Oryzias latipes: one gene and its partner. The protein of the gene in region 1 interacts with the protein of each later gene in a pairwise test. Links are inferred from orthologs where the notes say so. Each region holds a gene or a part of one and is shown on either strand. Other genes may lie near its edges.

The links.
Region 2: the proteins of map3k5 (region 1) and lats2 come close enough for resonance energy transfer, tested with the Homo sapiens proteins (2 studies listed by BioGRID, with this or other methods). The link is inferred for Oryzias latipes from reciprocal best matches to the Homo sapiens genes MAP3K5 and LATS2.

What each region holds. Positions count from the first base shown.
Region 1 is NC_019882.2:18,743,910-18,750,191, reverse strand, and holds part of map3k5 (mitogen-activated protein kinase kinase kinase 5), read left to right. Parts: coding exon 1-78; intron 79-163; coding exon 164-271; intron 272-2,483; coding exon 2,484-2,536; intron 2,537-3,558; coding exon 3,559-3,654; intron 3,655-6,282. UniProt on the Homo sapiens protein: Serine/threonine kinase which acts as an essential component of the MAP kinase signal transduction pathway. Plays an important role in the cascades of cellular responses evoked by changes in the environment.
Region 2 is NC_019879.2:11,531,650-11,537,931, reverse strand, and holds part of lats2 (serine/threonine-protein kinase LATS2), read left to right. Parts: intron 1-2,391; 5' UTR 2,392-2,731; coding exon 2,732-3,064; intron 3,065-6,282. UniProt on the Homo sapiens protein: Negative regulator of YAP1 in the Hippo signaling pathway that plays a pivotal role in organ size control and tumor suppression by restricting proliferation and promoting apoptosis.

The sequences.
Region 1 (6,282 bases):
AAACAGGAGCTGGTGGACTTTTGGATGGACTTTCTGGTGGAGGCAACCAAAAAAGATGTTTCCGCCGTCCGATTCCCTGCAAGTCACAGTCAAATCCAAATCAGTAGGTTTTGTCTGCATGAAATTGATCTCTCATTGATAATCTATCGACTTTCATGTCTAGGTGTTGATTCTGGAACCGACCAAAGTTTACCAGCCTTCATATTTGTCCATAAATAAAGATGTGGAGGACAATATTGTCTCAATCTGGCATGTTGCTCCCGATGACAAGGTAGGTCATGATGATTTTGTGTGGAAAACCTTTCTGTAAAGGTCTTAGGATTCACACTGACACGTTTCGTCCGTTGGCTTTATGGAAAAATAGACTTTAACTAATGTAAAGGGCTCTTTATGATAAAGAAAAAATGGAAAAAGGTTCATTGTATGAATGCAACAATGTGTGAATGATGAAAGTTTAAGAAATGTCTGGACTAGTGAAGGTACACAAATGATGATCACATGATACTACAAGCGGGTTTATTTCTGTCTCCTTTGTACATAAAACTCCTTTCCTGCAGTGCTTCCCCCAAAATTCTGACGGAGCATTAAAAAGTTGACTGATCTTTTACACAAAATGTAAAAAAAATTATCCAAATGATTAATTACATGTGTTCTCAAAATAACTTTTTGCTTTTTTTGTTAAGCAAAAAACAACTTATAGTCCGTTTTTTATGTAGGAATGAATACTTTTGTTGAAAAAAGTTCTGCCTTTGTCCAGTTTCTTGTGAGTATTGTAAAATGTTTTTTTCTATAATGGTTTAGAATGCAAATTTGTCACAAAAAAAATCATTTGATTTTTAATTGAGTTTTGAATGAAGTTGAATGGTGAATTGAAATGGATTATCCATGACAGTTTTTGGTTGTGGTTCATGTTTGTGCGTGCACAATACACCTCAAGTTTAGTGGTTATTGTGAAACCCTAAAAGTAGGTCAAACTGCTCTACATTCGGCTAAAGAGACGCTCTCTGTGGAACCACAAAACACAGGTTTATCCCCTGAACGTCTAGACCACCTCAGTAATCAGTGCAGCTGTGGTTCAGGGTCTGCTCACATTAAGTATAGCGCAAACTGCGCTGGCGTTTGATGCTCACCATCAGTCGCCTGTAACTCAGACTGAGATGCACAACTGTGGAGCCATGTGATACAAATATTTTAACAGCAATAGTGTACATAAATTCCCTCTCCTCTACCTCCAGTCACTGACAGCAGCACCAGCTGGCTGGTGAGGAAACAAACCCAAAACTATCCTCACGGTTCAAAAAGTGTTTCATTGGTTCACAAGCCCTCTCTTCAAACAAAGAGTTGATATGTGGTCCAAAAGCTTTTTTAATATAGAAAGACAGAGAAAAAACGACTCTACTGTTAAAATAAGGAAATGCATTCTTAGATGTACATCATCACATGCCAGTAGGGCTGCACGATATGAGGAAGACCTGCGATATGTGATATTTGTGATCAATATTGTGATAACAAATAGCAAAACAACCCAAAAAAGCATTCCCATTTCATTCCAACAGTTTAAAAAGTATACCCCAAGTGACCCTCCTTGACACAGATGAACATCCAAGATAAAAGAGCTCCATCTGATTGGGTAACTGGAAGGTGTCCCTCTGATTGGTCAAATGGATAAATGGATTTATTTGATTTGTTAAATACTTCATAAGATTGTTTTAGCTCATTAAGGAAACCATTTATTGCAATTTTCTCCGTCTTTCACGATATGCATATTTCACAGCTTGATGTCGCGATGACGATAAATTTACGATATATTGTGCAGGCCTACATGCCAGTGGTGAGTCCGAGAGACAGGGACTTGGGACTTGGAATTGAGTCAGAATTAAGTCTCACATACAGAGACTTGACTTACAGTTTCATCTCAAGACTTGGGACTTGACTTGAAAATACGGCTAAAGATGCTGGACTTGACTAATAGTTAAAGCTAATAAATTGAGACTTGACTTGAAGTACCAGATAAAGACTTGAGACTTGACTGGAACTTATCACCAAAGACTCAAGACTTAAGTTGATTTCATCACCAAAGTTTTCAAATTTGACTTGAAAATAAATACGAAGACTTTGGAGTTGACTTGAAGTTGAAGAAAGAGACGTGTGAGCATTTCTGGTGTGTGCTGGTCTTAGGTTTTATGTTTTTTAAAGGTTTCCCTTTGTTCATTCTTTTCTTTGAGAATTGTCTTTTAAAGTCCTTCTAAAACCCAACAAGCTCAGGTTTACTGTCACATGGTAAGTTTTCACTTAAATTAAGTGAAAAAAGGAGAGAATATCCAACAAGAACTGGAGCTGGACAAACTGTTGATACTCTGATGGCAGATGTTTACTTCATTTAGATTAAAAATACCATCCAGTTGAGTCTGTTAAAAACTGTAACTTTGAATGGATATTACAAAAAATGTAAACGTGTTTTTTTTTTTTTATCTGTCCTACAGAACAAGGGGATCCACGAGTGGAACTTCAACGCCAAGTCTGTGCGGGGTGTCAGGTCAGGTCCAAACCCCATTAGACTGGTTGTCGGTTCCATTTCCTGTTGGCTCTCCTGGAGCTTGTGTGTTAGCAAAATGCATAAAACTTGAGACAAGTGGGGTGTCTCACTTCTTCTTCATTCTAAACATTTACACCAAATGTTCAATTAAAATGTTAATTAAAAAGAACAATAGAAAAGGAAAGTGGGAAGGAAAAACCATCCCAAAGTGACCGCTACTTTACTCATCAGTTAAACTCCTGGTCATTGCTGCAGCTTTAAGGGGAAGGCAAAAAGAGTCATTTGAGGTACTAAACATCAGCCTCAGCTCCTTCTTTTACATGTGGGTTGACATTTTTGCCAACTGCTATCTTCATGCCAGCTTCCTCATTAAAGAGAAAGATGGAGATAAACAGGCAGGAACATGAAGTGGGATTGTAATCCAATGCTCCTGTTTTAGAAACACTTCTTATCTCCTATATTTAACTCCAAGAGCTTGATTCTGTTGCTTTCTTTCTCGTCTTGACTTGTTTCAAGCAACTCTCCAGACTTTATCCCAACATTTACAGCAGGAACAGCTTGTTTTGTTGGCCGATATTAAGGACAATTTAAAGCATGGAGGTCGTTTTCCGTCGCCTCTCTTAACTGGACTAAATGAAAGACCACCACGGAAGAATTTTCTTCCCATATTTTTTTTCCCCTGCACGCCCCTCAAAGGAATTCAGTATCGGATCGGACGGGTTGTGCTTGCATGTTGCTAAGGAACGGCTCATTCCCTGAGCCCACTCAGCCTGCAGACAGTCAGCAGGACACAATAGCAGCTCTCTGAGCTGCAATGCCAACCAGAGCACACTGTGACACAAACTTCAATGTCTGGCTCAGCAAATTCTAAGATGGACAAAGCATCATCTCTCTGGACAAACACTTCATCTCACCAGTTGTTTGCTGAGCATATATCTTTTGGCGAAGCCTAGATTTAATAAAATATAAAATCATTCCTCATATAGAGAGAACATGAATAACTCTTGACTGTCTCTTCTCAGCATCTCCAAGTTTGACGAGCGCAGCGCCTTCCTCTATGTGCTCCACAATGCAGAGGACTTCCAGATCTATTTCTGCACAGAGATTCACTGCAAAAGGTCGGTCCGCCTATCATGGCTCCCGTTTCGGTTTAATCACAGGTAGTTCATTTCATCAGTCATTGCTAAGCGAGTCTCCTGCTGCACTGCAGTGGTCCCCTGTAGCTTTAAAACAAACACTTTAAGATACATCACTCACTGATCTAAAGATCGGTGCGTTGATCATGGCGCCATACCTGAGATTGTCAAATGTAGCTTCAACTACTATTTTATAATGCAGTTTAGCTTAAAAACATTTAAAACGACAAAGATTCTCAATTTTTTGTCATTTTTTTCCTCTGATGGTGATTCACATTGAAATTCAAAGGATTATCAGGTCTGTTGTTGCTTAAAGCCTTAGTCACCTGTATAGGTGCTGCAGGTTTCTGGATTCCAGGCCCATGGAGGGTTGTAGAAAACGTTCCATTGTCGTGCGTGTGGTAGATGTATCGTAAATATGTGGGAGTTGCACGCACTTTATGCCGTACGAATGATGCTGGCGTACAGTGTCCTTACGCCACACTCATTAGCAAGGTGCAAGAACTGACTTCTTACTGACCGCACGCAATTCTGCACACACAGGATATGCAGGTGATACGCAAGTACCCATAGGACGCCTGTAGCAGGTCAGCACAAACTACAATCTGATTATCTTATTTCCTCATTTCCAGTAGTAAAGTGGCTGGATGGCTCAGTCAGCTGGGTGTCACGCAGGAAGCCTGGGTTCTATCTGGGTCTCTCTGTGCCCTGAAAATACAGGGTTGTGTCAGGAAGGGCATCCGGCGTAAAAACTGTCTGCCAAACCACCTGTGGTGACCCCATGAACGTAACGTAAAAGTATCTCAATCTTTTTTTATTCACAGAGAGGGAACTTTCTAAAGAAAAAAAATCAGTTTATCAGAAGAGTTATTCTAACTTTACCAAGCTCTCTAAGTGCTGGACTCTGATTGGTTGTCTGCCCCCTCCTCTAACCCTCCCTCCCCCCTAGTTCCACAGATCAGTTTGACACAAGTTTTGCAGCAAGGAATATGTTTTGCGCCAGCAGATTCACGCAGAAGCACATTTGAGCAGTTGTACTCACAGATTTGACGTTGCAACTCTAAATGAACACATGCAAATGGGAATTTGTCAGTTCACAACAGAAGATTTTTACACACAGATGCAGATTTTTGGTGCACAAGTTTTCACATTTTATTTTACAAGTTCTCACATCAAATCTACAAGTTCATCCATTTAGAGACATTTTTACCTTCATAGCTTTTGTCACAAACAGGAGTTGTATGTGTGGATGGAATGGGATCATTCCTGGGGCTTTACATAACAATCATTTCAGACAAAACTCATCCTTCTAAGAGGAACAACCTGTAAAATAGATAACTGACAAAAAAAAATTTTACCCAATAGAAAGTGAAAATATCATTTTCAATTTTGGATCTGATTCTAACATTTTTGCATAAATCCTGCCGCTGCAAAAAACTCTTTCTGCAGGAACTTGAAGTCCTCTTGTCAGTTCTGAACCCTGGTGGGAAATTTCCCGTTCTTCCATCGGCAGCACACCTTGTTTCATTTCAACCCCATCATGTCCCCTGCCAGCTGCTCTTTGCAGCTCTGTGTTCCAACTTGTGACTCTCACATCTGAGGCTTCCAGTGTCATTATCTGGAGTGTGAGAGCCCAGTGACTCATGCCTGCTGTTGCGGTTACCGACGGTCCCTTTATCTCTGCTTCTGCAGGAAAAAAAGGTTTAAAGGACAGCAAGTGGAGGAAAGCTGCAGTTCTAAAAAATAAAAAAAAGGGACAAACAGCAATAGAAAGGATTGATTTGCATGTCTGCCTGCAGACATTGTGATTGGTTTGTGTTCACAATGACAGTGTGGTTGAACACCTGCAGGCGTCAAGTGTGACAGCATGATGAGTGCTATTTCACAGCTTGTGAGCAGCACAGACAGTAAATGTCATTGTATGAATGCATTGTGGAGGAGGAGTGCATGTAAACACACTGTTGCCCTATCAGGATAGGATCAGAGGCTACATGGCAACTCTCAATGACAATAAACTGAAAATTTAATTTTTTTAAATGTAAATTTTTAAGGACGTTTACTTGTCTTAGCTTTTTATATTTTTATTTATGGTAATATATGTTTATATATTTTCTAATGTATTGTTTTATTAGATAAACTTGATAAAACTTGAAAAGTATGAAATGCATAAAACAAATTTACACTGATTTGTATTCTTTTTTTGTTGTATACTTTTAGAAGGATTTTTAACAATATATACTTTATTCTTTTACTTACTGAATATTTGTATTAAATGGTATTATGAAATTATATTTGTATACATTAAACTCTTTTGCACATCAATTTCTATAATATGTAATATTTTTCAATTTTGTATTGTAATCGTTTTTACTTTTTTTTGCTAATCAAACCTTCTAAAATATGATTATTTTTTTTAATTAACAAAGTTTTTTAAATCTCTTTTAACATAATGTTATCATTATGCTATCAGGGTTACTACTTTTATATGTTTTTTTTATATATTTTTGTAAATTTTTATTTCTGTTCAATTTGTATTATTTATTCATTTATTTTAGCCAAAAATAACATGCCAACATTTCTTAATTATGTATTGGTATTTATGTATTTATA
Region 2 (6,282 bases), on another chromosome or scaffold:
GGCTGCAACACTTCCACAGAGCATCCTTAACGTGTTTCTAAAAGGAATGAGACCTCTGTCAATGCTTGAAGAGGATGGATTTAAAGACATGATTGGGGTGCTGCACCCTGGCTTCCACCTTAATCACTTTTGGAAATGAATGGAGGGAAAACTATTGGAGAATATTTTACTGGTTACTAATTGCAATAGAGTGAAACCCATGATCATAAAAATCTTTTTTGCTTACTATTTCTACGGGAAGTTTAGAGAATGATTTAGTGCAGGGATCAGGAACCCTATAGCTTGCGAGCAAATTATTTTCTTTTTTTGTGCTAACACATAGCTTACCTGGGACTTTAAACCTTTTTATCTTTTATGAGGGGAAATTGAAAATCATGAACTATAAGAGTAAAATTGGAATTTTTTTGAATGCACCATATGCCGAGCATTAGCATTACTATATTTGATTCTAAACCTCCACGGACTGATTACCAGCACCAATAACCATCCCCTTTAAAAAACAAATTATAAAACAAAGGCCCATCACCGTATTTAAAAAAGGTAATCGTTGGCTAAGGGACTACTGAAATAATCATAAATGACAGCTCTAATAGAATGACTCCCAAAGTGACAAATAAGAATGATTTACTATATTGGGGCAGCAGTGGCTATGGTGATTGAACAGGTCAGCGGTTCGATCCCCCGATCCCTGCTTCCCCCAGTCAATTGTTGTTGCCCTTGGGAAAGACCTTTGACCTCCAGTGGGGCTCCACTGGTGTGTGAATGCGTATGAAAGTCTCAGCTGTGGCTACATCAGTAGTTACCATCACCAAGTATGAATGAGGAGTGAAAGAATAATGGAGACACATTGTGCTTTGAGCGTCTGGAAAAGCGCAGAAAAATCAAATCCAGCAATATTATCATTATTTTTATTTTCATCACTATTATTATATACGACTTATTAAATGTTTATCACGCCTTCTTTTATAAATATCTGTGCAATGAGTTAGAGGGTTTTTAGGGTTTATTTTAGGAAAATATTGACCTAAGTCTTTCGTTAATCTCTTTAAAAAACAAAAATAAAACATAGCTTTTTTTTCCTTAAACTATGTTGCTGTAAAGAAAAAGAGGTCAAGGTGTGTTGTGATGTTGCATTGTTGAAATTTGAAATATTTATTCTTCTTCATTAAAGTCCAACTCCAATCATCTTTTGATCTATTGTAACGCGTTCCCAGTGTTCTTCTAGTTATCATTATGCCGTTTTTTAACCTAAAAAACAAATCAAAACCTTTGTTGTTGTTTTTTTAGGACATAGTTTATGCAGAGAAGCAGTAGTTTATTAGAAATTTACCTGTGAGTTGTGGTTGAGACCTTTGGCAGAACAACCCCGCCCCCTTCCCCTCGTTGTTTCTCATATGGAAATGCACATAAAGTTACTCCACTTTTCCAGTTATTTTGTGCATCAGATAGAATGGAGATTTTTATACATTCAGATAGAGAGTTTGTCCACTTTGTCAGAAAGTTTTGAGCTGCTGTGGACGTTTTCATGCCACCAAATGCCTTTTAGCGTTTGAAACGAAAAAGGCTCTGAGTTTAATTCAGGTTTGCTTTTCTGAACCAGTTGAAAAACGGAAACTCAGTCATCACATGAGGACTTCTTTAGGGACTTTCAGGGGAAATGGCTGTGGAAACACTGAGTTTTTGTCATTTTTCTGAAAGCAGAAAAACTGAAAATGTGGAAAAATTGAAAGCACAAAAGACAATATCGCTGCAACTAATCTGAGTCACAGCAGCTGCGCTTTTATTTTTCCAACTGTCAGCATTAATCTAAATGAAGGCCTCACCTCGCTCCTCACGTGACGCCTCATTTAGGAACATGTATGCCACACGTCATCCTGTCTGCAATGCAGGAATAACGCCGCAGTGGCAGAATGTGGAGCATGTCCCCTCCCAGATAAGACAAGGGTTATATGTCCGGGAGCATCTCAGTCAGAGGGGCTTCATCGCTTGATGTGACCCCTTCCTCTTGGAGGCGTGTTCATGGATGACTGCGATGAAGTACTATGCAGTGAGAGCGGGTGGCTCAGTGGTGCAACTGCAGCTATGCATGGGGGGGGGGTTATGACCACTGGTATTCCTGAATTATGCAGAAGGTATGCCCCAGAGCTTATGCACTGCTGGTATGGAATTTGACTCCCAGGCCTGCAGGTAATAATAGTCTCCTAGGTTACAGTTTTGACATTTTGTGACCACTGGGAACATATTTGGAGTTCCAGGTCCTTCACCTTATGTTACAGAAGAAGGTTGGATCCCTTTTTATGTTCTTCCCCATTCTCACATTCAAGATGGAGACTTTGATGGAGAGTGCATAGCTGAAATCTTCATATTCTAACTCTGTGTTTTCCCTTACAGGCGCAGATGGGCACCGTCATGGTTTGGCTCCATAGTGCCCTCATGAGCAGCTCCACTTCCTGGAATAAGTTGGAACCCGAGCCTTGAAGTCACACCATGGAATGCTTGTAGTATTGTGCGTCCCTTTCGTCCACCCCACCAGCAACAGCAGGAATCAGAGACACCCAGTGTGACACAAACGACTGAGGGCCACAGGAACTGCTCCCAGAGGCTCTTTATCTATTTAGGTCAGATAGCTTGAGACGTTTTCGGGAGGGTGCAGGGGAGCTTGCTCTAGTTTCTGACTGACTGTGTGGGCTTTCCTTCTGAGAGTTAGTGCCCTGGCACAGGCTCTCAGACCATGAGACCCAAGACTTTCCCAGCAGCCCCGTATGTGGGCAACACGCGACAGAGGCTCCAGGAGATTAAGGAAGGCCTGAAGCAGCCGGCCAAGCTGGTGAGCCAAGCTCTGCATGGAGGAAGCTCCCGCTCTGAGAGAGGCTCCGACTCGAAAAGCGGGAAGGACACAACCAGTCGACAGCAGCAGCTCCGGCCGCCTCAGAAGTTCAACAACTACCAGAATGCACTCAGAGAAATCCGCAAGTCCCTCATGCCCTTCGCCAACGAGTCTGGAGAGGCCGGAGAGGTGAACCGACAGATGCTGCACGAGCTGGTCAACGCAGGATGTGATGAGGTGAAGATGAGTAGATTTGATCCTTGACCATTTAAGGGCTGATGTATGGACTCATTCAAGTAGTTTCAGCTTCTTCTTTAAGGTTATGCCTTAGTCACAACTGCCCTTACAGGTAGATAAGGGCTGTCTGCAGGGGAAAAATGGACACACCTGTATGGGGTTAACCCAAACAGCGAATGTTTGTGCACAGTTTTTCCTGCTGGTATGCTGCAGGCAACATGTCCTTTCAAACAACTGAACAACACTTAAGGGTTAGGTAGGTGAGACACAGCTGTGTGGTTTATACCACACACCTTTTGCTCATTTTTACAGGTTAATGCTGGTTTTAAGTCCCAGTCTGATCATCTTAAGCTCTATTTTCAGAGCGTTCCCAGTGGTCTTTTAATTATGATTATGCTGTTTTTAGCCGAAATCATAAACCTGTCGTTTACTAGGACATAGTTTCTGCAGAGCGGCAGGAATTTATTAGAATTTCACTTCGGAGTTGTGGGCGGGAACTGATGGCTGATGGCATGGAAGTAACTCTCTCCAATTATCCATTTGATCACACTCTCTCCTGCTAGCTTACAGCCCTCACAAGCCCAAACTAACACTAGCGGTGGAACAAAAATGGTGAACAATGTTAGAGCCAGTCGTACAGTTTTGATCCAGATTCCAGCTCAGCCGAGCAAAACAAAGACGTACATGGATCTATTTGTCTGTAAATGGATCCATCAGAAACAGTTTTTTTCAAATGGCAGGATTTGAATAAAGAAATAGTCAGAAATGTAGTCTTAATCTTAATTTTTTGCTATATACGTCTTTTATCATCAAAAAAGGCTACAAGAACATGTTATTAAAAACACCCAAAACAATTTTTTGTGTTTTTTTGAGCTCTTCAATGCAATTCAGTACAAGTGTGTGTGTCGCTCCCCCCCCAGTGAATGGTGAGCTGGTTGCATAACTGAGTGGTGTTGAAATCTTGAAATATCAGGTGGATTTCTCAACTGGCTTGCTTGGCATTTTTTCCTGTTATCCCCCTTGCAGAGTGGTGAATGTTTCCATGGGTCGCTTTCACGTAAAACTAAACGTTATTTGGATGTTGCTTCACCTTCAGCTTGGAGAATTAAATCAATTCCATGTGCAAACGTTTAGATTTGATTCCCTCCGATGCGTCTTTAGTTGGAAAAATCTACTTGCTCTGATTTTTGGGTCACATTTTTAAAAGTTCCTGCTGAATAGCCTTCTGTGTGTTTTCTTCCCATTATCTTCTTATTGGAAGCTGTTGAAATGTGCTTTGAAGAGAAGGCAGTGGGGCTCGCTTGAGGGGGCGATTAAAGCAACTGATTCAATCATGGACTGTGTTCACAAAATGCAGTTTGTCCAGTCAGGACCTGGTGTGTGTGGTTGAAAACCCCGTGACGAAGCGCGGTATGCCAAGAATGCCGCGCTCAAGCCTGTGCACATTAGGACGACAAAGCAGAGCAGCCAAATCGATTTTTAGCTCATCGCAGACAAAGAGCCACTGTTTGTCAAGTGTTTGCTGAAAGCAGGACCTTTGCTCTGTGTCATGTGTTGCACTGGAATTAATGTGTATTTGATTCTATTTTGTTCAGACTGTTCTTCTGTTTGCTCTTTTTCTTAATTACTTTTTTATGTCATTTAGGGGTGTCAATGATTAGTCAACTACTGTAAAAAGACGCTAATTTGGTATCGGTATTTTATCTTTTAGTCATTTGAAATGGTTATAATAACCACCAGCCACAAAGTAATTGGGATCGCAAAGCGCAACAGGAACTTTTGGAGGCAGTATAGCCCTTCCTCAACCATAGAAGAAGAGTTTCATGTTGCATTCACACTGGCCAGGTGAGATGCGTTCAAGAACGCGCTCTACACAGTTCACAACGCCTTAAATGGTCATGTGTTTTTTATGCAGAGCTAAAAACGGCTGTAGAAACTTGAATGGATGCAAGTTTTCAACATGGAATCCTGAGCCACCCTTCTTCGCGCCTTGAAAAAGCCTTTAGTTGGAAGGTGTTGCTTAATAGCATTTTGCCAACGGCACTGTGAACATCGCTTTACAGTTGACAAACTGCCTCCAAAGCATTCAACAAATTTCAAATCGGTTGTAGAAACTAACGATGCGTGAGCGCAAGAGTTTTGAACGCGGAATCCAGAAACACACATTTACATAACTTTTCATTGGAAGTGGTTGAACACGTGTTGCAGAAGACTGGGTGAACGTAGCTTTAGACTGACAAACCAGCCCAATTGGACTGGTCCAAGTTGACAGAACCTTCCAAAGCCTTTAAAAAAAAAAAAGGAGGGGCAGAAATCTGAAGGTGGATTACATGTTCTGAACTGTAAAGAGATTGTTGGAAGAAATGGAGCAGAGAGGCGTGATGTAAACCTTACTGTTGATCTTTACTCCTGTGGGTTACTGTTGTGGACATGTGGTGCTGGTGACAGAGATAAGCAACCTCCCCATTGAGATCATCTAACCCGTTTAGGTCACAGAGGCAGAAGGTGGAGGAACCTGTGGTTAATTCTCTGGATTTGGTTTGATTTGACATTTGAATCTCCTTGCTTTGGTTAAGGATAGCATCACTTCGAGTCCAGCCAAAGGGTGCTGGAGCCTGTCCCAGCTACTGTTGAGCGAAGGCGTGGTACAGATCGCCAGTCTGTTGCAGGGCACACAAGCACTCCCACACACACTCATAAATGCACACCTAGAGAGACTCTTAGATTCACCAATTAACCTATGAAGCCTGATTGTGGACTGTTAGGAAGCCAGAGTGTCTGGAGAAAACCCACTTAATGAAAGGAGAAGATGTTCACTTTGATGTTTCATGAAGGAGGTCTGCATTTGCAAACCATCATCAGTCATTCGTGTTCAAATATTCTGAAAGTAAGTACTTTACTTTTTTCATTCAAATGCAGTTTTTGACTGTGATTTAAAGTTTCTCTAAACAAACATAGACAAGTCAGACTTTCTTTGGAGCAGTGTGACTCGTGGTCATCAGTTTGATTTTGATCTGGAGCTTTTCTGTCACTATGTTTGCACATCATCCCATCGGCTGATTGAAATCAAGCATTTTCTTTTCTTTATTTATTTCTTTATTTATTTCTTCATTCTTTTTAGGACTGCCTCTCGTTTATCTTTCAAAACTGTGCAGGGGGTTGTGGACAACTCGCTCGGCCATTTCCTGTACTTGTAGTTGACCTCCATTGCTGTACTA